Linked DNA regions of Pelodiscus sinensis. Each later gene encodes a partner of the first gene's protein in a complex. Links are inferred from orthologs where the notes say so. Each region holds a gene or a part of one and is shown in the gene's direction. Other genes may lie near its edges. The genes, in order: GNAO1, C3AR1, RGS16 and P2RY2.

What was found.
Region 2: the proteins of GNAO1 (region 1) and C3AR1 are in contact, whole or in part, in a cryo-EM structure (PDB 8I95), measured with the Homo sapiens proteins. The link is inferred for Pelodiscus sinensis from reciprocal best matches to the Homo sapiens genes GNAO1 and C3AR1. Residues at the interface, in NP_066268.1 of Homo sapiens: Ile28, Ala31, Lys32, Asp33, Val34, Asn194, Leu195, Ser264, Asn316, Glu318, Tyr320, Asp341, Ile342, Ile343, Ile344, Ala345, Asn347, Leu348, Arg349, Gly350, Cys351, Gly352, Leu353, Tyr354; in NP_001313404.1 of Homo sapiens: Asn57, Asp119, Arg120, Val123, Val124, Pro127, Ile128, Gln131, Asn132, Arg134, Asn135, Tyr356, Ile359, Arg362, Gly366, Arg367, Phe368, Ser371, Lys374, Thr375, Val378, Leu438.
Region 3: the proteins of GNAO1 (region 1) and RGS16 are in contact, whole or in part, in a crystal structure (PDB 3C7K), measured with the Mus musculus proteins. The link is inferred for Pelodiscus sinensis from reciprocal best matches to the Homo sapiens genes GNAO1 and RGS16. Residues at the interface, in NP_034438.1 of Mus musculus: Glu64, Asp65, Gln68, Ser75, Arg86, Thr117, Val180, Lys181, Thr182, Thr183, Gly184, Ile185, Val186, Gln205, Arg206, Ser207, Glu208, Lys210, Lys211, His214, His236, Glu237, Asp238, Glu239; in NP_035397.2 of Mus musculus: Glu85, Phe86, Ser87, Glu89, Asn90, Glu124, Ala125, Pro126, Glu128, Val129, Asn130, Asp132, His133, Glu134, Leu161, Lys164, Asp165, Ser166, Arg169, Lys172.
Region 4: the proteins of GNAO1 (region 1) and P2RY2 are in contact, whole or in part, in a cryo-EM structure (PDB 9K20), measured with the Homo sapiens proteins. The link is inferred for Pelodiscus sinensis from reciprocal best matches to the Homo sapiens genes GNAO1 and P2RY2. Residues at the interface, in NP_066268.1 of Homo sapiens: Ala31, Lys32, Asp33, Val34, Leu195, Gln305, Glu309, Glu318, Ile319, Tyr320, Cys321, His322, Met323, Val334, Phe336, Thr340, Asp341, Ile343, Ile344, Asn347, Leu348, Gly350, Cys351, Gly352, Leu353, Tyr354; in NP_002555.4 of Homo sapiens: Asn66, Ser68, His130, Arg131, Gly134, Val135, Pro138, Leu139, Leu142, Arg143, Met221, Arg224, Leu225, Ala229, Tyr230, Gly231, Thr232, Ser233, Pro237, Ala239, Lys240, Lys242, Ser243, Arg245, Thr246, Leu308.

Annotation. Positions count from the first base shown.
Region 1 is NC_134722.1:44,556,836-44,563,821, reverse strand, and holds the start of GNAO1 (guanine nucleotide-binding protein G(o) subunit alpha), read left to right. Parts: upstream 1-3,985; 5' UTR 3,986-4,444; coding exon 4,445-4,562; intron 4,563-4,788; coding exon 4,789-4,831; intron 4,832-6,986. UniProt on the Homo sapiens protein: Guanine nucleotide-binding proteins (G proteins) function as transducers downstream of G protein-coupled receptors (GPCRs) in numerous signaling cascades.
Region 2 is NC_134711.1:132,724,283-132,731,704, forward strand, and holds the start of C3AR1 (C3a anaphylatoxin chemotactic receptor), read left to right. Parts: upstream 1-4,413; 5' UTR 4,414-4,688; intron 4,689-7,422.
Region 3 is NC_134719.1:57,909,131-57,916,743, forward strand, and holds the start of RGS16 (regulator of G-protein signaling 16), read left to right. Parts: upstream 1-4,602; 5' UTR 4,603-4,687; coding exon 4,688-4,731; intron 4,732-6,007; coding exon 6,008-6,105; coding exon of another isoform or gene 6,106-6,109; intron 6,110-6,546; coding exon 6,547-6,650; intron 6,651-6,841; coding exon 6,842-6,905; intron 6,906-7,613. UniProt on the Homo sapiens protein: Regulates G protein-coupled receptor signaling cascades. Inhibits signal transduction by increasing the GTPase activity of G protein alpha subunits, thereby driving them into their inactive GDP-bound form.
Region 4 is NC_134711.1:320,713,313-320,721,028, forward strand, and holds the start of P2RY2 (P2Y purinoceptor 2), read left to right. Parts: upstream 1-4,709; 5' UTR 4,710-4,843; intron 4,844-7,716. UniProt on the Homo sapiens protein: Receptor for ATP and UTP coupled to G-proteins that activate a phosphatidylinositol-calcium second messenger system. The affinity range is UTP = ATP > ATP-gamma-S >> 2-methylthio-ATP = ADP.

The DNA of each region.
Region 1 (6,986 bases):
AAGGATAGAGTCCAAAATGTAGCAGAACTCAGCACCACCCACCCCTGGCATGGGCTGTGGACCTACACATGGAGGAGAACCGGTCTGCCCTCCTTCATGGAAAAGTTCCTCCCACTGCTGGGTGTCTGCCTCAACTAGGCCCTGCTGACATTGCAGTTGCCATGGTAAGAGTATCAGAGGGGTAGCCGTGTTAGTCTGAATCTGCAAAAGCGACGAGGAATCCTGTGGCACCTTATAGACTAACTGAAGTGTAGGAGCATAAGCTTTCGTGGGCAAAGACCTACTTCGTCAGATGCATGTAGTGGAAATTTCCAGAGGCAGGAATAAATATGCAGGCCAGGATCAGGCTGGAGATGACGAGGTGGATCCAATCAAGGAGGCTGAGGCCCACTTCTAGCAGCTGATCTCCAGAGTGGCGCATCCCTCAGTTGCTCCCACAGGGCAGGCTTCAGGTTTGGCTGTGCAGGGCCCAGCTGGGCAGGACAGACTCTTGTGGTGTGAGTGGCCAGTGCCCTCCCCCTTCCCTGGTAGCAGGTTAGGCTGCCCTGTGTTCGGCAGCAGTGGGAGGAGCCCGCAGGATGCAGGTGGGGGCTTGGGGTCCTTCAGAGCTTTGCACTTAGGGGACTTGGTCTGGGGGAAGGGGTTCAGGCACTTCAGCACCCACCCCCCAGGGTGCCATGGACCAGACCCCCACAGGACTCTGCCCCCCAGCAGTGCTGGACACCACGGGGTCACCTACTCACCCACCCCTGCCTCACTGTGCTGCACCTAGCCTCCCTCCCCCCCATATCCCTGAACCCCCCAAAAACACCCTAACTACAGCCCTATTCCCAGGGGCACCCTGCCCCCATCAACCTGAACCCCCTCAGCCACTCTGCACCCCAGCATTATCTGCAGGCACTCTTAGCCCCCATCTTCCTCCCTCCTTACCAGGCACCCTCCCTCCTGGCTAGACACCCTACCCCAAGCCTCCTGCATCCGCTTTGCTCCTTGCACCTTCCCTCCTGGTCACACATTGCACCCTCCCTTGCTCCTGCTCCCTCCTCCTAGCCAGCCACCCTACTCCCAGCCTGCTTCTGTACCCTACCTCCCACCAAGACCTTGCAACCTCTTCCCCTTCTGCACCCCACCTCCCTTCCAGATCCTGCCCTTATTTCTATCCCACTCACTGGCAGCCCTGTCCCACACACTGAACCCCTCATTTTTGTCCTCACCCCAGAGTCTAAGGAGGTCTATAAAATCCAGTAACTCCAGAACACCAGAAAAGTGAATCTGGCCTATGGGAAGCCCTGAACTTCAGTCCTCTCTGTCTCTTCCCCTCGCCCCATCAGGCTGGAGCACCAGGATTGTGAGGGGGGGGGGGTGTTGGAAGAGAGTTTTTTTGCTTCTCACTTGTGTGGACCCCAACTGATTTTTCTGTGGGTCAGTGGCTCCTGACACAAAAAAGGTTCCCCACCCCTGCCATAAATAAAGAAAACATTGAAACCTTTTGTGTTGGACATAAATTAATATTTTACTTTATTTAGAATGAAATTTTATAAACGAACATGAGACAGTTAAAACTCTTAATCTGTTTAATGACTTAAATTGAACCATTCTCCCTAGCTGCAGCCAATAGCAAAATGGCTTGAGTGTAATTACTATATGTAATTAATGATGAGTTTACATTATCAGCTTGTGGTCCGCAGAAAGTTTCACATTGGGTGGTCCGTGGGCTAAAAAGTTTGAGAACCACTGATCTAGCCTATTATCCTGTCTTCCTACAGTGGCCAATGCCAGGTGCTTCAGAGGGAATGAACAAAACAGGTAATCATCTAGGCTATGTCTACACAGCAGCATTAGAGGTGTTTAAGTCTCGGCTTGACAAAGCTCTGGCGGCTTTGATTTAATTGGGATTGGTCCTGCCTTGGGCAGGGGGCTGGACTTGATGGCCTTCTAAGGTCTCTTCCAGCTCTATAGTTCTATGATTCTGTGATTTCAGAATAACCGATGTTATTTCAAAATTACAAAGTGGCTGTGTCTAGACTGGCCAGTTTTTCCGGAAAATCAGCCGCTTTTCCGGAAAAACTTGGCAGCTGTCTACACTGGCCGCTTGAATTTCCGCAAAAGCACTGACTTCCTACTGTAAGAAATCAGTGCTTTTTGCGGAAATACTATGCTGCTCCCGTTCGGGCAAAAGTCCCTTTTGTGCAAAACTTTTGTGCAAAAGGGCCAGTGTAGACAGCTGAGATTTGTTTTGCGCAAAAAAGCCCCGATCGCGAAAATGGCGATCTAGATTGGCCACAGACGCTTTTCCGCAAAAAGTGCTTTTGCGGAAAAGCGTCCGAGCCAATCTAGATGCTCTTTTCCAAAAATGCTTTTAACGGAAAACTTTTCTGTTAAAAGCATTTCCGGAAAATCATGCCAGTCTAGACGTAGCCACAATGTGTTTCTACAACGCAAGCTGTTACTATGAAATAATTTAGAGATGGAGGACTTCTTACTTCGACTCCTGTAACCCTCATTTCATGAGGAGCAAGGGAAGTTGAAGGAAGAGAGTTCTTCCTTCGACTTCCTGCTGTGTAGACCATGCCAAAAGCCGAATTAAGCTATTTCAGCTTTAGCTTTGCAATTGATGTACATGTCTCTGAATGAACCTAGGATGGGATTTCATCAGGGAAAACCTTTTGTCACTTCTTTCACTGTCTCCTCTCCCACCTGGTACCAAATTTGCCCAGGCCTAATAAAGTTCATCTCTGCAAGTGTATAAACTTCCTAGAATCAATTATTATGCTCCTTCTGACAGCAGGACCTACAGGTGCTAACCAAGACACAAAACCCATAGTGCTAGGCATGCATTGTACATACACAGATGTACTGTGTAAATGTATGCACTGTACAGTACATATATAGTCCCGGCCCACAAAGAGTTTACAGTCTAAATAAAAAAGACAAAAGGTGGCAGAAAGAGGAGAAACTTCTTATAGAGGAGAACTGAAACACAGGGGAAAAAAGTGACCTAAGGCCAGCACAGGAAGTGGCAAAACCAGGAATTTAACCAGGTCTCCTGCAGCCCAGGCCCAGCCTTTCCTCTCATTATTACCAAAGTAGCACTAGACAAGCCCTATTCACTACACCAGTGTTTCTCAACCTTTTTTTTTTATAAAGAACCCCTTTTCAAAAAAACCAAAATTATAAGTACCCTCAGTACCTAGTTTTCAGACACACAATTTTTTTGTCTACCATTGCACCCCATTTGTTTAAATAACTTAATTTTAGCTGGGCAGGCGATGAAATTTTTGGGTGTAAAATGTACAAAAATAATAAAGCGCTGTCAAACTTCAAACAAAAATTCAGTTCTCTCCAAATTTCAGTTGTTGACGTCCCCCCCCCCCCCCCCCAGCCTTCTCTCAAGTTCCCCTAAGGGTACTTCTACCACTGCTTGAGCTACACTGTATGTACAGAAAGGCCAGTAAGGAGAATAATCATTTGCACTGCTAAAACAGCTCCTACTCCAGGCACTCCACCAAGCCATGAATTCTGCTTGGGAAAACTGAGGTCACTGCTGAAAGGTCACAGAGTGAGCTCGGCTAGCCCCCGGCCTTGGCACGGGGCAGCATGCATGCGAGGAAAGGGGAAAGACGCCTTTGAACCTCACCGAAGTCCATTGGCCTGGCAGAGCTTTCCTGGAGGGGTCAAAGGGAGACAATGACGAGTTGTCCACCCGCAGGCTCCTTCCTCCCCGGCTCCAATTGTTTCCCAACTCGCGCAGGCTGCAGAGCGCACAGGGCCCTACCTAGGTACCCCCCGGGGCTGCTCCCCGCCCTCCTCTCGCTGGATCCTCGCTGCACCTAGGGATGGAGCGCGCGCTCTCCTCCTGCCAGGAGCCGCGGGAGCAGCTGCTCGCGGCCCGGGAGCGCCAGCAGCCCACCCTGCTCTGGGAGCATGCGCGGGCGGGCGCTGCGGACGTCACCAAAGCAGGCGAGCCCGTGAGTGCGGACCCCTGGCGCAACTCCCCCTCCCTCCTTCCCTCCCGCCCGCTCGCTTTCCCCTTCTGCTTCCCTCTCCGCCAGGAGCCGCCGAACGATGCGATCGCTCGCAGCCATCGCCGCCGCCCATTAGAGACCCCACAGCCTGCATCAGAGGAAAAAAACCCTCCAGCCAAAGCAGGATCCACCCTTTCCCCTCCCCCCGCCGAGCCCTCTTCCTCCTCCTCCTCCTCCTCCATCAGGAAGAGCTCAGCCTTTTTTGCACCAGCCCCGTGCCTGCCTGCAGCCCTAGATCTGCCCGGCTCCCCCTTGGATGCACTGATTGCTAGAGAGAGGGAAAGGAGGGAAGGGCATTCACAAGAAAGGGGAAACGTATTTGATTGCCCAGATTTTTTCCTGGGGGTTCATTTTTCCCCCCTTTCTCTTGGAGTGTCTGAGAAGGGGAGAGGCGGCCGCCGAGGGTTTTTTTGGCCATCATGGGATGTACACTGAGCGCAGAGGAGAGAGCTGCCTTGGAGAGGAGCAAAGCGATTGAGAAAAATCTCAAGGAGGATGGGATCAGCGCCGCCAAAGACGTGAAATTACTCTTGCTAGGTAAGCAGCAGCTCCCCCCCCCCCCCACTCCGCCCCGCCGACCACATCCCTACCCATTTCCTTAAGTCATGTTTTCTTCCCATCTGTGCACATTCTGTCTTGGGAAACTGTATTTCACCAAGATAACCCCCTCCGTTAACACAGCTGCTCCCTTCTGTGTAATTTCCTTTATCTCCTTATGTTCTCACGTTCACTGGATCTTTTCTTTCTGTGTCTGTCCCAACAGGGGCTGGAGAATCTGGGAAAAGCACCATTGTCAAGCAGATGAAGTAAGTCCTTTGGGGCTAACGCCCTAGAAGCGTCGATCATTTGCCTTGAAAAAATCTAGACATTCCTCTGATTTTCTTTGGAGGGGGGAGCTTGTGAGAAGGGGCTTCTTTAGTTGTAAGAATGCCTGTGACCGCCATATTTATCTGAGAATTACTGTGGTTATCGTGTTGTGGCTTGTGGACCCATTAGTATGGCACATCTGTAGCAGTGATTTCTAGTGGGGAAAGAAGATGGAGGGGGATCCAGCCCTTTGCTCACCGAGGATGACCAGGTGTCTGCTGTTCATGGGGTTGGTGCTGAATTGGATGTGGTGTGGTTTCTCTTTTCCCTCTCATAAGGTGTGAGAAGCTGCCTGTGGTTGGGGGTGGGGTAGGATGGGTTTCGTAGAAGATATGAATGGCACAGATGAAACCAGGACATCATCATCCTCTGCATTTAAGCTTAATGTCAGGTTTTTATCTCCTAGGCTCTCTCCTCTCAAAACACACACTCCCTTCCGTGTTTTACCTCCTGACGTGAGCTGCTGGGCCGGCTCCCTGTATTTGTTTATTTTAAAAATCTGCCTGTAATGCGGATTTAAAGCAAGGCTTGCTGCCACTCAAAGCCCTTTTTACCCGAGATTTCCGCCTTTCCTGTTGATTAATTAAGACGTTGGCTGCTGATCACCAATGAAAATTAAGGGAGTTTTAAAAAAAGAACAGAACATTAAAACAATTACACAAGGAAACCTGCTCCGCTGTAAAAGCCCTTTCCAAATCGGAACATTGTTCCTCTGTCTTCCCCTCCCTCAACCCTCTCTCCGGGGCATGGATGTATTTTAAATCTCACGAGGCTGTCTGGAAGAAAGCGGCGAACTGCTGCGGTTGTGTAGGGTTGGACTTGCCCAGGGGTTCTTCTGTGACACCTTTGTGCGCGCACACGCTTGCTAATTGGGCAGTTGCTATGCCATAAACGCGCGCACACACATTGATTCTCTTTCAAGTAAGCAGTGATGGTGGGGGGGGGGAGGCGAGGCAGGCTAGCGAAAGGGGGGGAGGGTATTTTTATTTTGTAAGTACATGAGAAATGTCGGGCTTACCCTGGAATAGCCATGACAAGCTCATTCAAGGTGGCGCCATCACTGAGCAGCCCCTGATCGCAGGCTTAGGAGCGTCCCTGCTGCTTGGTTTTAAAGGCCCAGGGCGGGTTTGTTATTGATCGGTGCAAGGCTGATTGCAAAGGGAGTTGCTACGCTGACCCCCTGGGGGAGGCTCCGAGAGCGATGCCCAGCAGCGGGTGTGGCGGCCTGTCATTGCCAGAGGTGGCCTGGGGGAGCGGGCCTCCCTTGGAAGGCTTTGAGCAAAGGGAGGGGACTCTGCCTGCAGAGCGGCTGTCGGCCGGGCCGGTCCCCACGCCGCGGCGCCAGCTGCGAGCTTTCAGGCGTTCCGAGTGGTGGACAGCGCCCAGCAGAGCCTGGAAAAGTCGATCGGCCCCGGCAGCTCGGCAAAGCTCGGCGGCCGCCGGGAGCCTGCCTCGGCGGCGTTCGGAATCTGTCGGGAGACACAGAGCAGCGTCGGAAATGGCCGAAGGGGTTCGGAGCCGCTCGGTGCGCTGCCCTCCCCCGCCCACCGCACACGTTCGATGCATTGTCGAGCGATCTGCAGGTTGGGTCATTTTGCCATTGAACAGGATCGGTCCCTTCCCTTCTGGGCCCCACCCCGCTCTCCAGCTGTTTGCCATTTTGCCACCCGGGGGAGGGACACTGTGATCTGTTTTCAGAGAAAAATAAGGCGACTTCCAGAGAGGGACGGGGAAGTCCAGTTTTCCATGGCTTTAGCTGCTTTGGCAGTCCTACCAGACATCTCCCATGGCTTTTTATAGCGTTGTTTGTGTTTCAGTAAAGACACACTCAGCTTTCAACTCCTTGGAAAGGTTTGCAGTTACAGGTTTGTCCTTTGGTTTATTGGAAAATTTGGAGTAGGAAAGGGAGGGTCTGGAGCAAATTAACATCAATACATTAATAAATGCATCTGTCCATTAGATTGTCTGCAATAGACTTATCCAGGTATGGCTTTGTGTGTGTGTGCTGACATCCATGAATGTATCCCTTCCCTTCAACCAGAAGAGAACACATTGAAATCAGCCTTAGAGATGATGGGTTGTAGGATGAGTCTG
Region 2 (7,422 bases), on another chromosome or scaffold:
AATCCCAAGTGCTGCCATTGCAAGGTTCAAGCCTGCTCAGCCTTGGAATTGCCAGTCCCCCTGGGGCAGTAGCTGCAGCTGTCTAAGGCAGGGGTGTCCAAACTTTTTTCAAAGAGGGCCAGATTTGAAGAAGTGAACATGCGTGAGGGCCGTCCCTGCATTCTCAGCCCCAAGGCAGAGGGCCCGCAGGGTTGGAGGCGGGCGGAGAGCACAGGGCACTCCGGCCTCACGGCGGCCCGGGGACAGGGCGAACCTGCAGCCGAGCGGGGGAGCGGAGCTGTGGACGTGCCCTACAGGGCAGGCTCTAGGACCGCGGAGGCCATGGGCGGTGGCGGCGGCGCGGCCGGAAGCGGCGCGCTGGGCACGCCAGTTCAAAAGAGCGCCGGGGAGCCAGGAGAGGGGGAGGAAGCGGGGGCCGTATTAAACCGGAACATGGGCCGCAATTGGCCCACGGGCCGGACTTTGGACATGCCTGGTCTAAGGCAATTAGCAATTGGCCCCATGGCTGTAGCCAGAGAAACTGCAGGTGGCTCTGTGACAACTAGGGCCATTAAGCTAGGTGCAGACAAAGAAAGTGGAGTTAACTTCAAGGAACAGTGATCACCGGTAGGAAAGAAATATCCAGGGCAGTGATGCCATTTAAGGGTGATTGCAGCCCCCGGCCAAGTTTCCTACTATGGCAGGACACTTTCTCCAGTTTCCCCTCTACCCAGGAGTGAGAGCAATGCAGGCAGCTTTTTGTTTACTCCTCTCCCCCTCTTGCTCACTGGAGTGAAAGGAATGCAGGCTCATCAAACACAACAAAAGGCCAAGCCTGGGTCTTTTGTTGTGCTTGATGAGCCTTGCCTAGCCAATACAAAGGGCTGCTTGGTCCTGGCTGAAATCAGGAGCAGCTGGGTTAGAATCAGGGATCCTGGTGCCATTATTCCATTACTGGCAAGAACAGAACAGCAGCAAAACACAAGGGTGAGCAGTCAGCATGCTGCTTGCTTGCCTACTTTGCATCCTCTTCTCTCCTCACCAGCCAGCCAACAGCAACATAGTCTGTAGATTTTCCTCTGCAGGCTCTCACCCCATCTCCCAGGCTTAGCCACTCTGATTGAAAAGCTCTCCCTCGCCATCCTCCTTATTGACTATTCTTTGTGGAGTATCTGGCAGATTGAAGAGCAGGGCTGCGTTCTGCAGAACTATTTACAAATTCATTGAGGCAAGCAGGTTGAAGGAGGGGTGGGTGGGTGAGGAAGGAAGCTCAGAGGATGTTGACTGCAGATTTCATGATCTGCCCTCATCCTCATGAGTTACTATGTTTAAAAGGCTGGGAGGAAGAAGCCCTTTGTGACACCAGTAGCCACAGAGCTGCTCAGGCAGGGGAGGAGACTGCTGCTTCAGGCACATTCAAGTTAACTCAATTTTGGATGTTTCAGTGCGGCACTGCTAGAGTGGCAGAACTAAAGAATGACCATTAGGGATCTTTCCCTGCTGTCAAAAACAAACATGAGCTGTCGCACCACAAACATTGCTTCAACTACACTTCAAACTTTCTTATTTTCCCAACTCTCCAATTTTGGGGGAAGTGGGAATTGGCAGTGTCCCAGGGTTGCCACCTGTTCTTCCATTTAGTCCCACTTGTCTGTGAGCATCTTTCCTTGACTCCAATGGGCTTTGGGTCAGGTTACCAGGTAGGGCCATACAGGCTGTTACACATAAATGGCGATTCCTCGGGAGGGTTCCAATTGAACTTTTTAATTCTTTCTCAGAACATCTTTTAAGGAGCTGCTGGTATTTTTACATGTACAGATTCAAACAAATGCTGCCCTAAGCAGCCAGCCAACTATGCATCTGCTGTGCTATGTGTCCTTCTCTTCCAACTGATAAGTCATTTTAGGTTTAGCTCATGTTTACTCGCTCTTTACTACAGTATTTCTGAAGGTGGCCCAGTCTCATGAACTTGAGTGCCTTCAGTGAACATCATAGAGGTGATTTTTATACTCTCAAATCCTTAGAGTAACACACTAGGAATCTCCTTCCAATCTGGAGTGTGGTTTGTTTCTCAGTAATATATTTACTTTTAGACACTCCTGGAAGAAATTAACTCTCTCATTCTCTTCACAATTTGGACCATAAGACATTTAAAGAATAACATTAATTGCTAGGCTAAGCAGTTTTTAAGAACATTTTAGTTATCGCTACAAAAGACAGTGTGCAAAGTATCAAACTTGTGTTATGGATCCAAAATTGGAAATATCTTGCTGTTGATTGTTCTAAATTTTAAATATGGCTTTAATTGGTATATATTTTTTCTTTATATAAGAATTAGGAACACTGGTCCTGCCAGTTAATTTCTAAGTTATCGTGTGCAAAAAAACCCCCAGGGATATGTCTACACTGCCCCGGTTTTGCGTAAAAAATATGCAAATGAGGTAAAATGTGGAATATCGGCACGCCTCATTTGCATAAGTAATGAGGCTCTGTTTTTACACAAGAGGCTTTTGCGCAAAAAGAAGCTGTCTACATGGCTCCTTTTTGTGCAAAACCCCCCTCTTGTGCAAGAGCCGTTCTTCCATATTTTTTTCAGGAAGAACGGCTCTTTCACAAGAGGGGGGTTTAGCACAAAAACAGAGCCTAGTTAATTATGCAAATGAGGCACAGAGATAGTCCACACTTTGCCTCATTTGCATTTTTTTTTTTTTTTGCACAAAATAGGGGCAGTGTAGACATAGCCCAGGAGTTTTCAGGTGCCTAAGTAGCCTGTGGAATGAAATCATGGTTAAAGCTACCCCTCATTGCCCCAGAATCAGAAATGGCATTTCTGGTCAAGGGGAGAAGGGGAAGAGGAAGCAAGTCAGGCCTACAGGCTTACAGAGAGAGAGAAGCCCCAGCAGGCAGGAGAGCATACCCAAGGTAGAAGGAAAACAAGCCTGCAGAGAGGTGGTGGTGACCAGGTACTAGACCGGCACGTTGATGGGAACTGAAGGAGGAAAGTGGGTGAGTTCAGGTTGTCGGGTCTAGGTGCTCACTTTGGGAAATGGTGTTTACAAGTAGCTGACTCAAATGGCAGGATGGTGCTGGGGTAGGGATTTGTCAGAACTGATCAGGTGGCTGAGAAACTTTGTTGAGCTGAGACCAGGCCCACATACAGTGACTGGTAAAATCAGGTGGTCTTGGAGACATGGCTGTAGAATGTCTGGAGGAGGAAGGAGAGAAATCTGTGCAGAGTTTCCCTGGTCACTATGAAATCTGCTCACCATGGACACTGGTAAACCCACCTAGGTGTATGGCTCAATGAGAAAACTAGAGGCTGAGGAAGCTGTGAGCCTGTGTATGGCAGTACATACGATCTTGCCGAGATTTGTGATCAAAAGAAAGAATGCCTCTGAGATTCAGTACAGGCAGTCCCCGACTTACGCGGATCCAACTTATGTCGGATCCGCACTTACGAACGGGGCTTTTCTCGCCCCGGAGCTCGCGGGCGACAGGACCACCCAGAGCGCAGCGGTCCCGCCACGGCGTCCTCCGGGGCGAGAAAAGCTGCTCCGGGTCTCCCTGGTGTGCTGGGGGGGGACTCCCTAGCACAGCAGGGAGACCCGAGCAAAGCCGCACAGGCGGCGGGACCCTGCTGCCCGTGCGGCTTTGCTCCTTTGCCCCGGAGCAAAGCCGCACAGGTGGCGGGGTCCCCCGCCTCTGCGGCTTTGCTCCTGTCTCCCTGCTGTGCTGGGGGGGACTCCCCCCGAGCACAGCAGGGAGACAGGAGCAAAGCCGCAGAGGCGGCGGGACCTCTGCGCCTCCGCGGATTTGCTCGGGTCTCCCTGGTCTGCTGGGGGGGAGGGGGCGCAGCTAGCGCGCCCCCCCTCCCCAGCAGACCAGGCTTTTGTTGCGGGACGCCTGGGGTAGAGCAGCTGGGGTGCTGCCGGGTTGGTCCTGCGGGGACATACCCGGCAGCGCCCCAGCTGTTCTGTCCCAGGAGTCCAGATTCAGCTGCTGTTGAAACTGATCAGCGGCTGATTCCAAGAAGCCGGGGGCAGAGCAACTCTGCCTAGGGCTTCCTGTAGTCAGCCGCTGATCAGTTTCAGCAGCGGCTGAATCTGGAGCCAGGTCCGACTTACATACAAATTCAACTTAAGAACAAACCTATAGTCCCTATCTTGTACGTAACCCGGGGACTGCCTGTATTGGGAATACTATGGCTCTGCCACACCAAGCCTATACTCAAAAGGGACCAATAACAACTACATGGGGGCCACAAATATGTTTGGCACCAAGTCCACAAAATGTTAATCTGGCCTAGATGGCAAGAGGCAAGAGAAGATCATGTGCTTTGATCTCATGTGATGAGTCACATTTTTGTATGAAAACTTTGATTTGCAGTGGACAGAGCTATGCTCCCTAGTAACTTCTAGGTTTGCTTACTCTTCAGTCCCGCTTGTTGAAAGCACACTATCCTTGCCCATATGTTACTGTTGCATTATCTCAGCAGCATCAAGCCAGATCTTTTGCAGCTTGTATTATCTAAAATTGCAGGCATGACTCATTCTTGTCCTTCCGCTTGGGTGCAAAAAATCTTCAGTGGTCTTAAAAAAGTTAGTTCCTAAATTCACCTTATAAGTTGTTCTCTGATCAGTCCAGAGCCAGTGCATAAGACAAAGAGTGATTCTTGCTCCCCCATCCATTGAGGATTCTGCTGTACTGGGGTATGTACAGAAGACAGACAGCATTCTGTCTTTCTGATCTGCAATTTCTCTTTACTGCTTTTCCCCTCCATCTGTCACTCTTAAAGTGTCTCTCTATCCCTATCTTTGTATTTCTAACTTCCTCTTTCTTTTAGAGAGCTAGAAAACATTGGGTGGGAGAGTGTGACAGGACTCTCTAGATGGAGTCATCCAACTCCCAGTCTTGGAGCAGGATTGATTTCAGTATGTACAAAGCATCTTTTTACTATCCACTGTATATATTCTGAGAGGCAGCTTTATCATGTGGCCAGGGCAAAGTTCTGTCTTGGCTCCGTGGCGTATCAGTGAAAGAGGTTACTCCATAGCAGCACTCCTCTGGAAGGATAAGGGACCTGCTAGTGCAATAAAAAGAACCGGGGTGGTCTTTAGATGGAATAATAGTGACCTGTGATTTGGCCACTGCAGGAGCAGGCTGTTAGCCTCAGTGCTCTAAAGGGTGTGTAGTTTGTACAGTAACATTACCTCCTGCCTGCACACTTGGCATTTATTACTACAGGTACTTGGTAAGGAATAGTGAGCCTTAGTTTCTATTCCAGCCATGTCACTAACTCCCTGGGAATGTCATTAAAAGGGCATTTCTGCTCTGAAAAGTGGCATTGTGAGGCCCACATTGACCATCTCTCAAGGATTTCCATATCAAATGCACTCTGGTGACAATGAAAAACTTAAAAACCAACAAATAGTTTAGTAGTAACCTGTCACCTGAAGGAGTGGGCTGTGCCCACGAAAGCTCATGGTAGCATCTATATGTTTTGTTAGTCTCTATCTAAGGTGCTACTAGACTATTTGTTGGTTTGTAAGTTTTTCCTGTTACAGACTCACACGGCTACCCCTCTGAATCTGGGGACAATGTCCTTTTTTCTGACTCCCCACTTAGCAAACTGAAGGCTTGTCTTCGCGCACTGTGCTATACAGGGCACAGCTGCACCCACACAGCTGTGCCAATGCAGTGCTTATGGAAGATGCTCTATGCCAACAGGGGAGCATCTCCTACCAGTGTAGTTAATATATCTCCCCAAGAGGTAGTAGGTCTATTGGTGGGAGAAACAGTCAACACCAAAATCTAGGTCAATGGGATGATGCCACTCAGTGCTGGATTTTTCACACCCTTGAGCAATGTAGTTATACCAATGTAGGGCTGTAATGTAAACCTAGACTTGCTCTGGGATCTCAGAAAACATATCTCATATCAGTTCAAAATGCTACTTGTCCTGCAAAGTCTCATTGACCACGTCACCCACCTCCCCTTTGTTTCCCTCCATTGGCTTGTCCTTCTTCCATGTATCAAATATAAACTACTAGCAGGTGAGGTCCGTCGTTGACTGGGAAAAGTCATTTTGTATAGCTAACACAGGAAAATTCAAGAAATGAAATATGTCATAGAATTGTTTATTAATGTGCTTGCAAAAGGGATGTAAAAGAACAGTTTTATATTTGTAGGATTTCAACTTCAAACATTATTCATTTTATTGAATAATTACCACACATAGGGTATGTCTACACTTGCCCCCTAGGTTGGACTAGGAAGGCAAATGAAGCATACCAAAGTTGCTAATGAGGAGTAACAGTTAATTCGAGGGAGGGGTTTTGGATTGGACTACTGCGTCTACACACGGCAAGTTAAATTGGCGACCGGCCGCTAATATGCTAATCAAGTGCGGGATATTTAAATCCCGTGCTTCATTAGCAACTTCGATATGCTTCTTTGCCTCCCCAGTCCGACCTAGGGGGCAAGTGTAGACATACCCATAGTAAATTTGAATCAGAAGCTCATAAAGATTCCATTACTCTTTCTGTAACTAATTTGAATTATTTTTTATTTGTAACAGCAAACATTTTCTTTGCACTAAAATGGCAGTTGAACAGGTGACTCAATTTTAATTTTGTTAGCAAATATTTTTATGAACTCTAATCATAATAGTCATAAGTTTTTTGTGACGAAAACCAAAAATAATTATTTAAATCTTTCACCCAACATATTCTGGTGTAAAAAGTAGTGCTTTCAGCTAATTTAAGTGGCAGGATTGTTTATGCAAAATTTGGTATCTATAAGTAATTGTTAAGTATGGCTTTATTTTGCACAAACAATTCACAAACTCTTCAAAATATATAATAGACTACTCTTTATTTTGGCCCTCTGCTGCTTAGCCCTACCTTAAGAAGCCTTTATTGGCCATTTTCCTCAAGCACCTTTGTGCTTTTAGCTATGCTGCCTCTTATCTTAAGAGCAGCTTTCCAAACATAGTCCATATTGTCCCTACTTTAAACTCACCCTTGCTATGATGCCTAAAGCTCTCTTAACAATGATGGTGATAAGTGCTGTTTATTATATTAATCATTATTGTTTCATTGTGTATCTTGGCCTCCCTTCATTTGTGTTCCATCCATCTTTTGTCTCATGTTATAGACTGCAAGTTCTTTGGGGGCAGGGCCTGTTTGACAGGGCAGTCCTTACACATATGCAGAATATGCAGCTGTGTAGAGCACCCAAAAATCTGGGGCACCAGAGGCTTCAGTGTCCACCTACTCACCTCCTTCTGTCCCTGTTCTGTGGCTTATACTTCTTCTGGAAAGGATCTAGTTCACTTAAAAGTGAAAAAGCCTGCCAGAGCTATTAGCAGAATATTGAACCTGTGAAAGAGCCATTCAAGTGGTAATGCAGTCATTTAATAGGTATATATTGTAAGTTTCTGCA
Region 3 (7,613 bases), on another chromosome or scaffold:
GTTCTAGGCTCTTCTAGAATGTGTGCTATGACTTTATTTTATACACAAGCATTTGTTCCCAATACTTCTACTTGTTACTACTTGGCTCTCTGTGCGTTGATGAATAAACGTAGGCCTGATTTCACCATCAACATGCCTGAGTGCTGCTGTGTGTTAAGCGGAGCGCTGTTGTGAGGAGTGACTGCTACGCTAGGGTGTTGTTTCTTTGGAAGCAGTGGGCCTGCTCTTTGGATGGAGCGTGCCTATCGCTCATCTGTAGAGTGACAGGAGTGCCTGCCAAGCCAAGAGGGGCCAGTGTTTGTGTGGCCTGTGGCCAATGGCGTTAGGGAGCTGACCTGTGACAAGGGTCTTCCCAGCCTGGGTACCAGGAAACACCACAGTTCTCTCCCACCCTGGAACTGAATGAGCATAGCATCTAGTAAGTGAATGATCTTTACCAGATTCCTGTGCACCTGTGGAATGGTGTTTGAGACAGTATAGGGTCTATGTGTGCCTAACGTAGTGAATACAAGCAGAGAGAGGGTAAGTTTAGAAGATAGGATACACAAAGAACAAGTTAAAACTCACTTAGGAAAGTTAGATGTCAGCAAGTCACCAGGTCCTGATGAAATGCATCCCAGGATACTCAAGGAGCTGATAGAGGAGGTATCTGAGCCTTTAGCTATGATTTTTGAAAAATCATGGCAGACTGGGGAGATTCCAGAAGACTGGAAAAGGGCAAATATTGTGCCCATCTATAAAAAGGGGAATAAGAACAACCCAGGAAACTACAGACCAGTCAGTTTAACGTCTGTCCCAGGGAAGATAATGGAGCAGGTAATTAAGGAAATCATATGCAAACACTTGGAAGGTAATAAAGTGATAGGGAATAGCCAGCAGGGGTTTGTGAAGAACAAGTCATGCCAAACTAATCTGATAGCTTTCTTTGATAGGATAACGAGCCTTGTGGATAAGGGAGAAGCGGTGGATGTCATATACCTAGACTTTAGTAAGGCATTTGATACGGTCTCGCATGATATTCTTATTGATAAACTAGGCAAAGATAACTTAGATAGGGCCACGATAAGGTGGGTGCATAATTGGCTGGATAACCGTAGTCAGAGAGTTGTTGTTAATGGTTCTAAATCCTGCTGGAAAGGGATAACAAGTGGAGTTCCTCAAGGGTCTGTTTTGGGACCCGTACTGTTCAATATCTTCATCAATGATGTAGATATTGGGATAGAGAGTACGCTTATTAAGTTTGCAGATAATGCCAAACTAGGTGGGGTTGCAACTTCTTTGGAGGATAGGGACATAATTCAAAATTACCTTAGCAAATTAGAGAAATGGTCAGAGGTAAACAGGATGAGGTTTAATAAAGAGAAATGCAAAGTGCTCCACTTAGGAAGGAACAATCAGTTCCATACATACAAGATGGGAAGCGACTGTCTAGGAAGGAGCATGGCAGAAAGGAATCTAGGGGTCATAGTGGACCACAAGTTGAATATGAGTCAACAGTGTGATGCTGTTGCAAAAAAAGCAAATATGATTCTAGGTTGTATCAACAGGTGTGTTGTAAGCAAAACTCGTGAAGTCATTCTGCCGCTCTACTCCGCACTAGTTAGGCCTCAGCTGGAGTACTGTGTCCAGTTCTGGGCGCCACATTTCAAGAAAGATGTGGAGAAATTGGAAAGGGCACAGAGAAGAGCGACAAGAATGATTAAAGGTTTAGAGAACATGACCTATGAAGCCAGGCTTCATGAACTGGGCTTGTTTAGTTTGAAAAAAAGAAGATTAAGGGGGGACATGATAGCAGTTTTCAAATATCTAAAAGGGTGTCACAAGGAGGAAGGAGAAAATTTGTTCCTCTTGGTTTCTGAGGACAGGACAAGGAGTAATGGGCTTAAAGTGCAGCAGGGGAGGTTTAGATTGGACATTAGGAAAAAATTCCTAACTGTCATGGTGGTCAAATATTGGAATAAATTGCCAAGGGAGGTGGTGGAATCTCCCTCTCTGGAGATATTTAAGAACAGGTTAGACAGACATCTGTCAGGGATGGTGTAGACGGAGCTTGGTCCTGCCTTGAGGGCGGGGGGCTGGACTCAATGACCTCTCGAGGACCCTTCCAGTCCTATGATTCTATGATTCTCTGATAAAGATCCAGGGCAACTGGTATGCAATGGATATTTTCAGCTGTTCCAGTGATCCAAAGCAGCTATAAACTTAGTATAACACACTGGTTAAGCAACCCATCGCTACCAATGAATCTGGCCCCTTATTATTATGGCAATGTATTTATTATTTCCTGTATCATACGCCAGTTCTACTATTCCTTTGCTGGACAGACCTTGCTAGGAAGATGAAAACGTGCTTCAGAGGTGCTGCTAAAGCAGCTGACATGAGCAGTTGTCCTGAGTTTGCTGCAGCAGGCAGACTGAAATCTCTATCCCATGACATTACCGACTCACGCACACAAAGCCCCTGGACAGATGAGAGAGTCAAGAGTTTGTGGAAAACGTCCAGCCTGGCGGATGGGCTCCCAGTAGCCAAGGGGCTGGTTGAGAGGCAGGCAGGATGAAGCAGAACTAGCACTCTCAGATTTGTATTTGAAAGATGAGGCATGTAAGCACTGAGAGATTAGCAACTGCTGTCCAGAGAGTGCAATGAAAACAGGGAACCACAAAGAGTTAATGCTGAAAAACCGTCATCATGGTGACTGTAGTCAGCGCTGGAGCAGATGTTACTCAGGGAGAGAACTGCTTTTCCACTCTGGAGAGCATTAGACTGTGCTTGTGTGGCTGTCATATGTGCGCACCACAAGGGTTTTACACCCTCCTCTAGCATTTTGTATTGGTCACTGCTTGAGACAGAATGTCAGCATTGCTCTTGCATCCTATCCACCCAGCTATCCTCTGCTCTTGGCCACTGATCTCTCTCTACAGCTTGTCTGCAGGTCTCTCTTGCTTCTTTTTCTCTCTCTGGCACCGCAGACTGCAGCACAATGTGGCCTATGAGACGGTGCAGCAGCAGGATCCTGCTTGAGAGCTGCAGCTCTGTCAGAAGCGGTTTTATTGTGCATTCGGCTGTTTCAGTAGCGCCTTTGGCATGGCCATGGAGCGAGTGATGCTCTGCTAAGACAAATCTTCCTCAAGTCTCAGTCTGAGGAGCAGAGGGCCTCTTAAAACAGAGAAAAAGGGACCGAATCAATCCATGTGTTCCCCTTCTTCTATGTTGTCCATCTCCTCATGGCTTTGCTATAGTTCAGCATTGTGATTAAAACAAGGTTTGGTCCTGCCTAGTAAAGCAAAATTCATGTCATGTTACAACATAGTGGGGGCACTAGCAGATTGCAGAGATAAGGACACTTCTTTGATCTTCTTTCTCTAGCTTTTTGCCCCCTTCTCATTCTCTTTGGCTCTTCTGTCTTTATCTCTTGCTCTGTTCTCTCTTTCCCCTCCTGCTGTTTCATTCTCTCTGGTTTTCTATTTATTATTCTTTCTCATTCAGGTTCTTGCATGTCTGTGCCACCACACATTTTCCCTTGTTCTATATTTCTCTCCTTTTCTTTTCCCCTTTTCTCCCTTTGCCAAACGCAGAGCAGAAGAAATACTCTGCAACTCCGATCCAGCAGCATGCACCTGGAACCCTATCGGGGCCTGGTAATGGTAAGGCTTGTCCTTCCACACAGTTTCAAAATACAGATGAGACCAAACTCCATTGTATGGACCTACAGTATGATTTGGAGGCATGGTCAGAACACCATTTTGCCCTGTTGGCAATGCAAGGCAGACACTGGCCAGTTTCACCCCTATGCTCTGGCTGCTTTGCACTGCTCTGGAGATTGTAAACCATTCAAATTGAGCGTACGGTTACTGAATACCGGAACAGTGCAAAAGTTCCTGGCGAATCTGGCCCATTGTTTAAATCCCAGTGAAGACAAGTACACTGTAACTGGTTATGTTCCCTCTGATCTTTTCCTTCCATCCATTTGTTCCATCCATGTGTGGAATAAATTTTATGTGCACTGAGGCATGTGCGAATGTGCACCACCAGTAGAAACACAAACCCTAGCTGCGGGTGCTCTGCTAAACAGCTGGGCAGCATGTGAATTTTTCATGAGCTGCTGCACCACAAGCCCACAGCTTCCAGGGAACACTGGTAACTGGTGTTCTCCCACCAGGCTTGTATGTGTAGTGCAACAGGAGAGCTGGTCATTGCTGTGCTTTTCATACATTGTTTTAAGAAAAAGAACAGCATCCCATTCTCCTGACCTCTCTTACTGCAGAGACACTTTTTCACAGCAGCGACAGGGGCAGCAGCGATGCTGTGGCGTCTGCTGTTTAAAGAGCAGGTACAGTTTATAGACAGAAATCAGTCTGTTTTTCCTGTTAGCTGGGAACAGGTTAGGTTTGTGATGTTCAAGGACAGTTCTGATTCTCCCCCCACGTCGCCCTCTCTTAACGCACACAAAAGAAACCCACCTAAACCATCATCATCTTTTCTTACTACTGTCAGAGCTTGTGGTTGGCTGGAGGTTGGAGTTGTGTGTGACTAAGCCCCTCCCGTGCCTCCCACTTCTTTTGAGATATAAAGCACAGCTCGCAGGGCAGCCGGCCAGCCTTCAGCAGCTGCTTGTTGCTTTCACTCGCAGTGACAAGGATTAACCCTGTTGTCCGCTCTCCACCCTCCTGCCAGCCCCGTTCTCAGCATGTGCCGAGGTTTAGCTGCGCTTTCCGCTACCTGCTTGGAAAGGTAAGTAGCTCTGGAATACAGGGATGCTGGGAAATAAAAGGACTAGCTGATAAAGAAATGTTAAGATTCAGTACCGGACTTTGTGGCCCCTGTTGCATGGGCAATGATGCTGTGTTTGTAAAACTGGGATGAACGCTGGGTTTAAATCCCAGCTCAGAATGATTGAGGCACGCCGGTGCCGGGGGGAGAGGAACGGAGGGGGTAAACAACAGGAAGTTGTGCTGATATTATGATGTTTTCAGTGCATGAGATTTGCCCTTCAGTTGCAGAACTTGCTTTGCCCTGACAACAGCAGGAGTATTTCTGCAAACATATTTACAGTGAAATTCACCTGACGGCAAATGCGGAGTCCTGTGTTACTTGTCTGGCACTGCTTTGCGTATTTGTATAACAGATCTCCGAGAGACACCCCCCATTTGATCGGTAGGCTTGCCGAGGGGTGCTGCTCTGGGGAGAAGATGGTCTAGCAGGCAGCTGCCTCTGTCTGTCGCAGAGGTGTCTCAATCCTGTCGCAGACATGCTGAGGCAGGGAGCGGCCTCTGTGCAGCCGCAGAGAAGCCCTGCAAATAGCTGCAGCAGTCCTGGCGCTGCGACAGAGACACAGTGGCACGGGGCTGTCTGCCCAGGGTGGCAGACACAACAGGGCCAGGACCCGTCTCCACACTGCGGCTGAGCAGAGAGCAGTTTTCACTATTTCCCTCGAGACTCCAGAGCAGAAGGGAAAATTACTGATAAGAGGGTCAGGAGATTGACTAATGGACACCAGGGAGAGGAGGAAGCCAGAGGAATAATGAAAGGCCCGGACTGGGCAGGCAGCTGCCTCTCTACACTCACCAGGCAAACACCTCCACACACGCCCTACCTGTGAATACAGGAAGAGCGCATACAAGGACATGGTCTCCCACGGAGCTACTGAGAGTTTTCTTGTGGCGTCTGGTGGCAGGAGGTGGGACTGGAGGAGAAAGGTTTTAATTCATAAATAGGAACGCATAATTAATACTATCGATAACAAGCGGTCAAGCCATGCTCAGGAGGAAGGGGCTGAAACTAAAGTGAATGGAGCCGGGCCTGTTTGATTTGGTCCTGTGTCTCCAGATTAGGTTTAGGGAGAGAGCTAGATATTTGGATCATGAGGCATTTTCTGTAAGGAGATGGAGCTAACCAGCCTGGCCTACCAACCGGCCTTCCCTGATAAGCACACACCTCTGCCCTCTAGTGGCCATTCCTTGCCTTTGGGGTCCATTCTAAACCCAGTGGCTCCTCTTCTGTCTTTCAGAGCCAAACAACTCAAAACTCGTTTAGGGATCCTGCTTCATAAGCCAGAGTTGGGACAGGAAGCCGAGAGTGTCAGCAAACCCGAGCAGGACACCAAATCCAGGTAAGCCAAGCCTGCCAGCCCCAATTTAGCCCAGCCCCCCCCCCCCCCCCAAGCTGCACCGAGAGTGGATCACGTCCATGCTCCTCTCCCTATGAGGAAGAAAGCACCATACATCAGGAGAACTCGCAGGTCTCCATCCACTAAGCCCCATCTCCAGATTTTCAGAGGGGAATGTTCATTACCCAGCTCGACAGTCAGAAAAACCAGACTAGACAATAGGGCCCTAACGAGTGACATCTGGAACAAAAGTGTGGTGCCCCAGCTTCAGGCTAGACACCAGCGTGGACTTCCCCAGCTGTCTGGGGGACTCCAGTAAATGGAGAGTGGAGGCAGAGGGTGTCTGTGGACTTTAGTCAACTCTAGAGCCAGGGAGACCCTCACTCTCTGAAGGGAAACTCTTTGCCAGAACTTATACCAGCTGGAATTGGCATTTTATATGGAAAAACTATTGTCCATAAGCTACCCTATGGAGGTAAGATCTAGCCAGTCATCTGGGAAAGTAAAAGAGAGGGAGAAAGAGAAAAGAAAGAGAAGACCCCAGAGATAATGAGATTGCTGGGTCTCTTACTTGAGTTTTTTATGGAGTGATGCTATCCTCACCTATTCCTCTGTCTTCCCCTAAATGCGGTAGCCAGCTTCTGTCCTGGAGCTTTCCTATCCCTGAGTATTTGACCAGATCGAGCACTTGTTAGAGTTTGTTTCCATAAGGTTTATACTTTGCGTTTCCTTTCCAGAAATTCCTCAGAGGAGGCACTGGAATGGAACAAGTCCTTTGACCACCTGCTGAAGAGTAAAAGTGAGTATGAGTCCCTTGTATGACAGTATGAGGGGGAGACACCCTGTGTGGGCAGGGAGACCCAGGGCTAACCAGCTGCATAAGTTCAGCGTAACAGGGAATGTTTGCCCATTCTCAGACTAGAACAAAAGAGAGGTCGGTCTTTAGGAGCCCTTTCCTTCCCCCTCCTGAGAGCATTGCATTGATGCAACAAGGACAGTGCAGCGGTTGGATAACTGTGTGAACAAGCTAAGCAAAAACCAATCGGAGCTGCTGCATGGCCAAGTAAGGCTGCCATTAAGGCATGGGGCTCTCTCTTGGCACAGAGACAGGCCCGGCCTTTGGGCAAGGCGGTTACCTTGGGCCCCATGCATTCAGGGCCCTGCGCTGCCCAGCTCCCGGCCAAGCCCACTCACTCGCTGCCCTGACTGGGGGCCGCGTGGTTCAGCCAACCACAGCGTGCTGCCTTGGGGCCCACAAACTCTTTGGCCGGGCCTGCACAGAGACATTGCATCACAATGCAATGCCATACTGTCGGGGCATAAACATCATATAGATGTTGTGTCAGGGAGATGCAGCATGTTGTCAAGCTGCCTAGAATAAAACCCTGTAGTGCAAATTGTCCTGCAGGGTATGGGTACTACTCATCCCCCTCTCAATGCACATTCGGTAGAGACCCATGAAAATTGATATAGTTCAGCAGCTTTGGGGTTAGGAGCAACATTCCCT
Region 4 (7,716 bases), on another chromosome or scaffold:
AACCTAGCCATGTGGACCTAGCTTCTGCCTGCTGAAAGTCCCCTGGCCCTCTCTGATGTACTCCCCGCAAAAGGCATTGCAGAACTTTTAGGATACATCTACACAGAGGTGAAAGTAACTTAACATTTCTTACTGGTACGGTCCTATTACAACCTGGGTCCCTGCCAGCTCTTTCAATAGCTCCCTGCTGGTTTTTGCCGCAGCTCAGCCAGTTCTTGCTGGAGCAGTGCACCAGGTGCACCCACTTACTTTCACCTCTGCGTCTACATGGCAATAAAAAAGCCACAGCACCAAATCTCACCACCTGGGTCAGTTGACTAACCTGGTTTGCAGGACCAAAAACTACAGGGTGAACATTTGCGCTCAAGGTGGGGCTTGGGCTCTAAGACCCTCCCCATTTATGGGGTTTCAGACCCTGGGTTCCAGCCAAGTCTGAATATCTACACTGTAATGTTTAGCCCCACAGCCTGCGCCCTGTGAGCCCAAGTCAGCTGACAGCCATGTGATGGGTCTTTTACTGCCGTGCAGAAGGATCCAGACATGCGCGTGTGCTGTACATTTACATCTCATCATGCTGCACAGCAGTGGCATAGCTAGAACAAAGTGTGTCGGGGGGGAAGCTTTCAGGTGGATGGGCAATGATGTGTGGGGGAATGGGGACAGGAAGGATCGGGTGTGCAGGAGGAATCCAGTGCCATGGGGAAGGGAGGGGCCGGATCTGGTGCTCTAAGGAGAGAGGCAAGAAGGGAGGTGCAGATGGGAACCACTGAAGGTAGGGAGGTGGGGTGGGCTCTGGAGTTGCTTAGGGGATATTGCCTGGGGAGCACTGGGTTGGAGGCTCGAGTCCTTCCACCCACCTTGGGAGCAGCTGGACAGCCAACACCGGCTGCCCTGGGGAGAGGGTGTGACGGCGCGTTGGGGTTTTCCCGTCTCCTGCACCCCCGTAATGGCACGGACAGACTCCACCAGCCAGTAGAATAGAGGGAGTTTATTGCTTCTCCAGGATACAGCACAGCACAGATGTAATCTGGTTACAGGGCAGGCCTAGGATGCCTCAGCCCCCCTTGAGATAGGGGAGCCTGGCCCCTAAATCCCAGCCCGTTGCCTAGGCTGCTTCCTCCATGATACCAGCCAGAAGCCTCACTAACTCACTTCCAGCCCTGCCCCCAGCCAAGGCTCCACTCCCCTTCTTCCCATTGTTCCGCTCCCTGGGAGATAACTGGTCAGACAGGTTCGAAGCCCCCTTGCATAATGATTCACCCCCTGCCCTGCTGGGCCGTGCTGCAGACAGCAGCCAGTGGAGGTCACTCATAACCCAAGCCTAGCAACCAGCAAGGTACCCACACTACGTCACAGTGGGAGCAAGAGGAATGGGGGCCCTGCTTCCCCCCCAGGACTCCTTACTGCCCTGTTGCATCACTCTCCTGCTGGTCCCTCATTGCTAGCATCACCCAGACCTTCCCCCATGTGCATGGATTTGGGGAGCTCTGGCTCCAGTTTGGGTGGGCTTGGATGCTAAGGCGGTGGACCACAGCTCAATCAGGTCCACTTGTAGCTACACCTATGCCCCTGCCACACTCCAAGTAATTGCATAGAATCATAGAATCATAGAATAATAGGACTGGAAGGGACCCCGAGAGGTCATCGAGTCCAGCCCCCCGCCCTCAAGGCAGGACCAAGCTCCGTCTACACCATCCCTGACAGATGTCTATCTAACCTGTTCTTAAATATCTCCAGAGAGGGAGATTCCACCACCTCCCTTGGCAATTTATTCCAATATTTGACCACCCTGACAGTTAGGAATTTTTCCCTAATGTCCAATCTAAACCTCCCCTGCTGCACTTTAAGCCCATTACTCCTTGTCCTGTCCTCAGAAACCAAGAGGAACAAATTTTCTCCTTCCTCCTTGTGACACCCTTTTAGATATTTGAAAACCGCTATCATGTCCCCCCTTAATCTTCTTTTTTCCAAACTAAACAAGCCCAGTTCATGAAGCCTGGCTTCATAGGTCATGTTCTCTAGACCTTTAATCATTCTTGTCGCTCTTCTCTGTACCCTTTCCAATTTCTCCACGTCTTTCTTGAAATGTGGCGCCCAGAACTGGACACAGTACTCCAGCTGAGGCCTAACTAGTGCAGAGTAGAGCGGCAGAATGACTTTACGAGTTTTGCTTACAACACACCTGTTGATACAACCTAGAATCATATTTGCTTTTTTTGCAACAGCATCACACTGTTGACTCATATTCAACTTGTGGTCCACTATGACCCCTAGATCCCTTTCCGCCATGCTCCTTCCTAGACAGTCGCTTCCCATCTTGTATGTATGGAACTGATTGTTCCTTCCTAAGTGGAGCACTTTGCATTTCTCTTTATTAAACCTCATCCTGTTTACCTCTGACCATTTCTCTAACTTGCTAAGGTTATTTTGAATTATGTCCCTATCCTCCAAAGAAGTTGCAACCCCACCCAGTTTGGTATCATCTGCAAATTTAATAAGCGTACTCTCTATCCCAATATCTACATCATTGATGAAGATATTGAACAGTACGGGTCCCAAAACAGACCCTTGCGGAACTCCACTTGTTATCCCTTTCCAGCAGGATTTAGAACCGTTAACAACAACTCTCTGACTACGGTTATCCAGCCAATTATGCACCCACCTTATCGTGGCCCTATCTAAGTTATATTTGCCTAGTTTATCAATAAGAATATCATGCGAGACCGTATCAAATGCCTTACTAAAGTCTAGGTATATGACATCCACCGCTTCTCCCTTATCCACAAGGCTCGTTATCCCTTATCCACAAGGCATAGTCGAGCCCTTAATTGTTTCTCCTTTGTTTGTGGGGGAGTCTTTCACAGAGCAACAAAGAAGGGAGGAAAATATTTTTTTAAAGTAGGAAAATGGGATTGTAAAACCTCAGCAATTGTCTTTGAAATTCCGAGCTAGGTGTAGTAACCAAAACTAGTTTTACCTTTTTTGTTTTAATTGATCAGCACCCTGGATTTCAAGTTTACAGAGTCCCTTTAAAGCTGAATGCGCAATTTGGTGCTTGAATATATTGTCCTTGTGAGAACACTGCACTTATAAACTAAATGAAGGCATCTTAACCACCTGCTTGCCATGTAAGTCATGTAAATGTCTTCCCCTAGACTAGAGCAACATTATGGCACATATCTTTCAGACTACATCTCTGAGCTCCGAGACTAGTTATATGTTTCATACTTAGGTGCTGCTTGTGTATGTCAGCCTGGGCAGCCCACTTTGGTCTGATCAGCTGAGGGTGTCCTTCTGGTTCAGTAGCATTTACACCTATTCTCAAAACAGGTGGAGAACAACACCCCAACTCTGAGTACACCTGACCTGACTATTGCTAGACACAGCCATTCAGAAACTGTGAGCCATGCCCTGAAAATCATGTCATTGGTTTAAAAAAATCACAGTATTTTTAAAAATAATAATTGTTGTGTTCTTTTTATTTGCCTTCAGGGTGCACACAGGTCACATATTCCAACATTTTTCTGCATCCCCAAGGGCTATAAAATAAATTTCCATTGCTTTAAATGAAAGCAGCAGTTCTTGTGAAATAGCATGACTCCAGAAGCTGGGACATTAATAAAACCACCAAATATCATGAGTCATATGATAAAAAGAGAGTTGGCAACATGGTAATCACCACACACAAGTGAGAGTGGAGCTGAGTGATTTTTCTGTGGCGGAGACTGAACCAAAAATAATAATTTCAGTTCAACTGAAAGCAATTTTTCTCCTGACAGTTTTCATTTGAACAAAAAAACATTTAAAAATCATTTTGAGTCAATTAGAAATGAATTTCTTTTCAAGTGTGCTTTTCAAGTGGCTGTACCAGGAGGGGTTTTTTGCTCCTTTTTAAGGGTATGTTTTTTAAACAAGCCAAATGGCATCATTTAGTTTAGAATTGACACATCAAAACAACTGCTCTGATACAAAACATTGAGACTTTTGAATAATTTTTTCCAGTCCATTTCTTCTGCTGAATTTGACCCGAATTCCACAAATAGATTTCAGGATTCAGAAAACCTATTAATTGAAAAAAAATCATTTGGCTGTATGCAGGAACATGTTCAAAATCAGAGCTGGATTCTGGAATTCAAAGATCTGTATCACCCAAACCTCTAGATTCAAACACTCACACTCTGCAGTCAGAATTTTAGTTTGCAGAATCTGCATGTTGCATATAAACTGGACAGAGAGCAAACACCTGACCAGCTAAGATGCTGGCTGTTCTACATCTGGATTCATTATGGGCATCTGGAGCCCATTTGCATTTGATTCTGACTCCATTGTGGTCAGGGAAAGCAAAGCACTCCCTGAAAAAAGTCCACTGGCCACTTCGGATGGCTGTGAGTTGTTGGGTTGCTTTTTACATCTGCCCATCTTGCTCCCCGTAGGTCAGAGTCATCGATCCAAACTAGAACAAAACTCTTTGTTGCTCTGGCAGCTGGAAACCGGTTTGATTCCCATAGTTATTATAGCAAAACTAGTGTGGGCTGGCTGGAGATGGCATCACTGGCATTGATTGCATTGCACTCCGCCTCTCCACGCCAGGCGGCTGAGCAGTCAGAGCAGTAAGCAGAGCTCCCTCGGCAAGCAAAGGGCGAGCTTGCCTTGACAGGCAGGCGCTCATAGAAACTGCTGCTACTCACAGTGTAGGCTCTCCTCTATCAGGAAGGAGGGGAAAGCGACAAAGAAACTGCAAATCACTTTCCATCACAACTGAGCATGAAAGTGACCAGGGAGAGCGCGGCTTGAAGGCAGCCAGAAGACAACGGTCTTCCTAGAGACTTGGAACAACAAATCTGTGAGTGTGAGATTTAAGCTTGATCATCGGTGTTTTCTCTTTCCTCCCCTTCTTTCCCCTCTACTCAGATTTGTCTGGGAACGATGGTCACAAACTCTGAACTAAGGGGTGTATGTGTGTGTGTGTTCACACTCTGAACTAAGGGGTGTATGTGTGTGTGTGTTCACACTCTGAACTAAGGGGGATCTGTGTGTGTGTGTTCACACTCTGAACTAAGGGGATCTGTGTGTGTGTGTTCACACTCTGAACTAAGGGGTGTATGTGTGTGTGTGTTCACACTCTGAACTAAGGGGGATCTGTGTGTGTGTGTTCACACTCTGAACTAAGGGGGATCTGTGTGTTCACACTCTGAACTAAGGGGTGTATGTGTGTGTGTGTTCACACTCTGAACTAAGGGGTGTATGTGTGTGTGTGTTCACACTCTGAACTAAGGGGTGTATGTGTGTTCACACTCTGAACTAAGGGGTGTATGTGTGTGTGTGTTCACACTCTGAACTACGGGGGATCTGTGTGTGTGTTCACACTCAGAACTAAGGGGTGTATGTGTGTGTCCCTGTCCCCAGCACTGTACACTCCCCATAACTGACCTCTCCAGGACTTATCTTTGGTTCGGGGAGAAGAGCTGAACATCGAGGGAATTGTGTTGCTTGAACATTGGACCCGGCTTGTGTGTATGTGCGTGTTTCGCGCGCCCACACCCAGCTAATCACCCGGCGTCACTTGTTGCTGATTGTCTCGGTGTCTCTCTCCTACCCTAACAACAGGGCAGCTTTGGGCTCTGCTCGCTCGCTGGCGGCTGCCGGGGGCTATTTGTGAAGAGGGGTGAGAGCGGCGTGGCAGGGGCTGCCCTGCCGCGGCTGAATGGCCCTTCCCCGCCCAGGAGCGCCAAGCCAGGCTCTAAAGCCCGGAGCAGAGACCCACTGGGGAAAACTCCCCTTTCGAGCTGGAGCCAGAAAGCTCCCGGCCGGCCCCACGCTGGCTCCGCAGTCGGGGGAGGCGGGCAGCGCCGCTGCGAACACGCTCCGGCCGCACGTGGGGACTGGGCGCGGGGCTGCGCTGCCCCAAGCCAGCGGGAGGCGGCGGGCGGGAGCGGAGCGCTGGGCGCCGCTCGGGCTTTGCTCTGGCCCGCGAGCGCCCAGCAGCGCGCAGAGCCGGGTGCCGCGCTGCGCCAGGTCCGGGAGGGGCAGGAGGGGCCTGGGACTCCGCCTCGCCGCTACCAGCTCCTCCCCGGACCGCTGGCGGGGGGAGGAGGGGGCGCCGGGGGCAGAGGCGAGTGACCAGCTGGAGCAAGCGACAGGGTTGGGCCAGGGAGAAGGGAGTAGGCCTGGTTGTTGGCTGCCTCCACCTGTGTCAGGGGCCGGACTCTAAGCTTTGCAGGGCAGGCACTGCCTAGCCCATCTTCCTGCAGCGCCCAGCACCTCTCTTCCCTCCCTGAGCAGCCTCTGGACGAGGGATGCTACATTTCAATTAATGAGCTACTTGATGAGTCGATAAGGGCCCCTCCACCTTTGAAGTGGAGCAACAGCCCCAGGACTATTGCTCCACTTCAAAAGCAACCGCGCTGTGGGGAGCATGGGGCCAGCGGGGGAGACTCAAGCAGCCCCCTGCTGGCCCAGGGCTGCATGCTGTGTTTCAAAGCAGTGCCACATGGAGCCCCAGATCAGTGGGGGAGTCCCAGTGGGGGAAACCCAGCTGGCTCCCCCTGGCATTTCAAAGCAGCAGCACTGCATGGATCCCAGGGTCTGGCCTCAGGCTCCACACAGCGCTGCAGCTTTGAAGCGCTCCCCCGCCCCCCCCCCCCCCTCTTTCTGATAGAGGCAGCAAGGGAGGGGAAGTGACTAGTGTGTCGACTAGTCTTTCACATCCATACTCTGGATACCAGTGAAGAGGCCCTAGGGACCTGAGCCCTGATCAGCACAGCAGACAGGCACTGAGGTGACCAAAGCCTATGTAAAGACCAAAGCTGCTTAAAGATTTGAAATCTAGAACCCTCTGTTCATTGGTTGAGCCTTAGCCAGGGGGCGGGGCTATCAGAAAGGTGAGGGCTTTATAAAGCCCATGAGTAAGTGACCAGAGAGCTTTGCAACCTGGGGCAGCTAACAGGGAGATTTGAGAGGGAGTTTGAAGGGGGTGAGGGTCACTTGCCATTCCTTGAAAATTTTTAAACTAAACTAAAAACAAAACTTCCTGATTTAAATAAAAACCCTATCATTACCCTCTGTAGGAGAGAATGCAGGCAGAAGCCCAGCAGCAGAGTGGGGGCTATCCTGTTTATTGCACTCAATGTAGCATGTATGATTACCTGCCCTGTGGGCAGCTGGCATATGTGTGCATTCGGTACAAGGAGTTCCAGGCCCTCAGAGACCGTGTATGGGCTTTGGAGGCCAGGGTGGCTGAATTGGAGGGGCTAAGGGTGGTCGAGAGGTACATAGATGAGGCTTTCCGGGACACTGTAGAACTGTCCCACCTCTGATCAGACGGCCCCTGTGCTGTTAAGGATGAAAGGCTCAGGGAAGGTGAATATTCAACTGGAGCAGAGGGAAATGATCCCATAGTTGGGACCCTCCTTCCAGAGGATGTTATGGTATCCTCTCACATTGAGGAGACAGCTCTGGGGGAGGGAACTGCAGCTGTTAGGAAAAGGCAGGTGTTGGTAAAGGGGGATTCAATCATTAGAAACATAGATGGCTGGGTTTGTGATAGCTGGGAGAACCATATGGTGACTTGTGCAAGTCATATGGTGACTTGCCTGCCTGGTGCGAAGGTTGCGGAACTCTCGAGACATCTAGATAGTCTTATGTGTAGTGCTGGGGAGGAGCCCGTGGTAGTAGTACGTGTAGGTACCAATGACATAGGGTAGGGTAGAAGAGAGG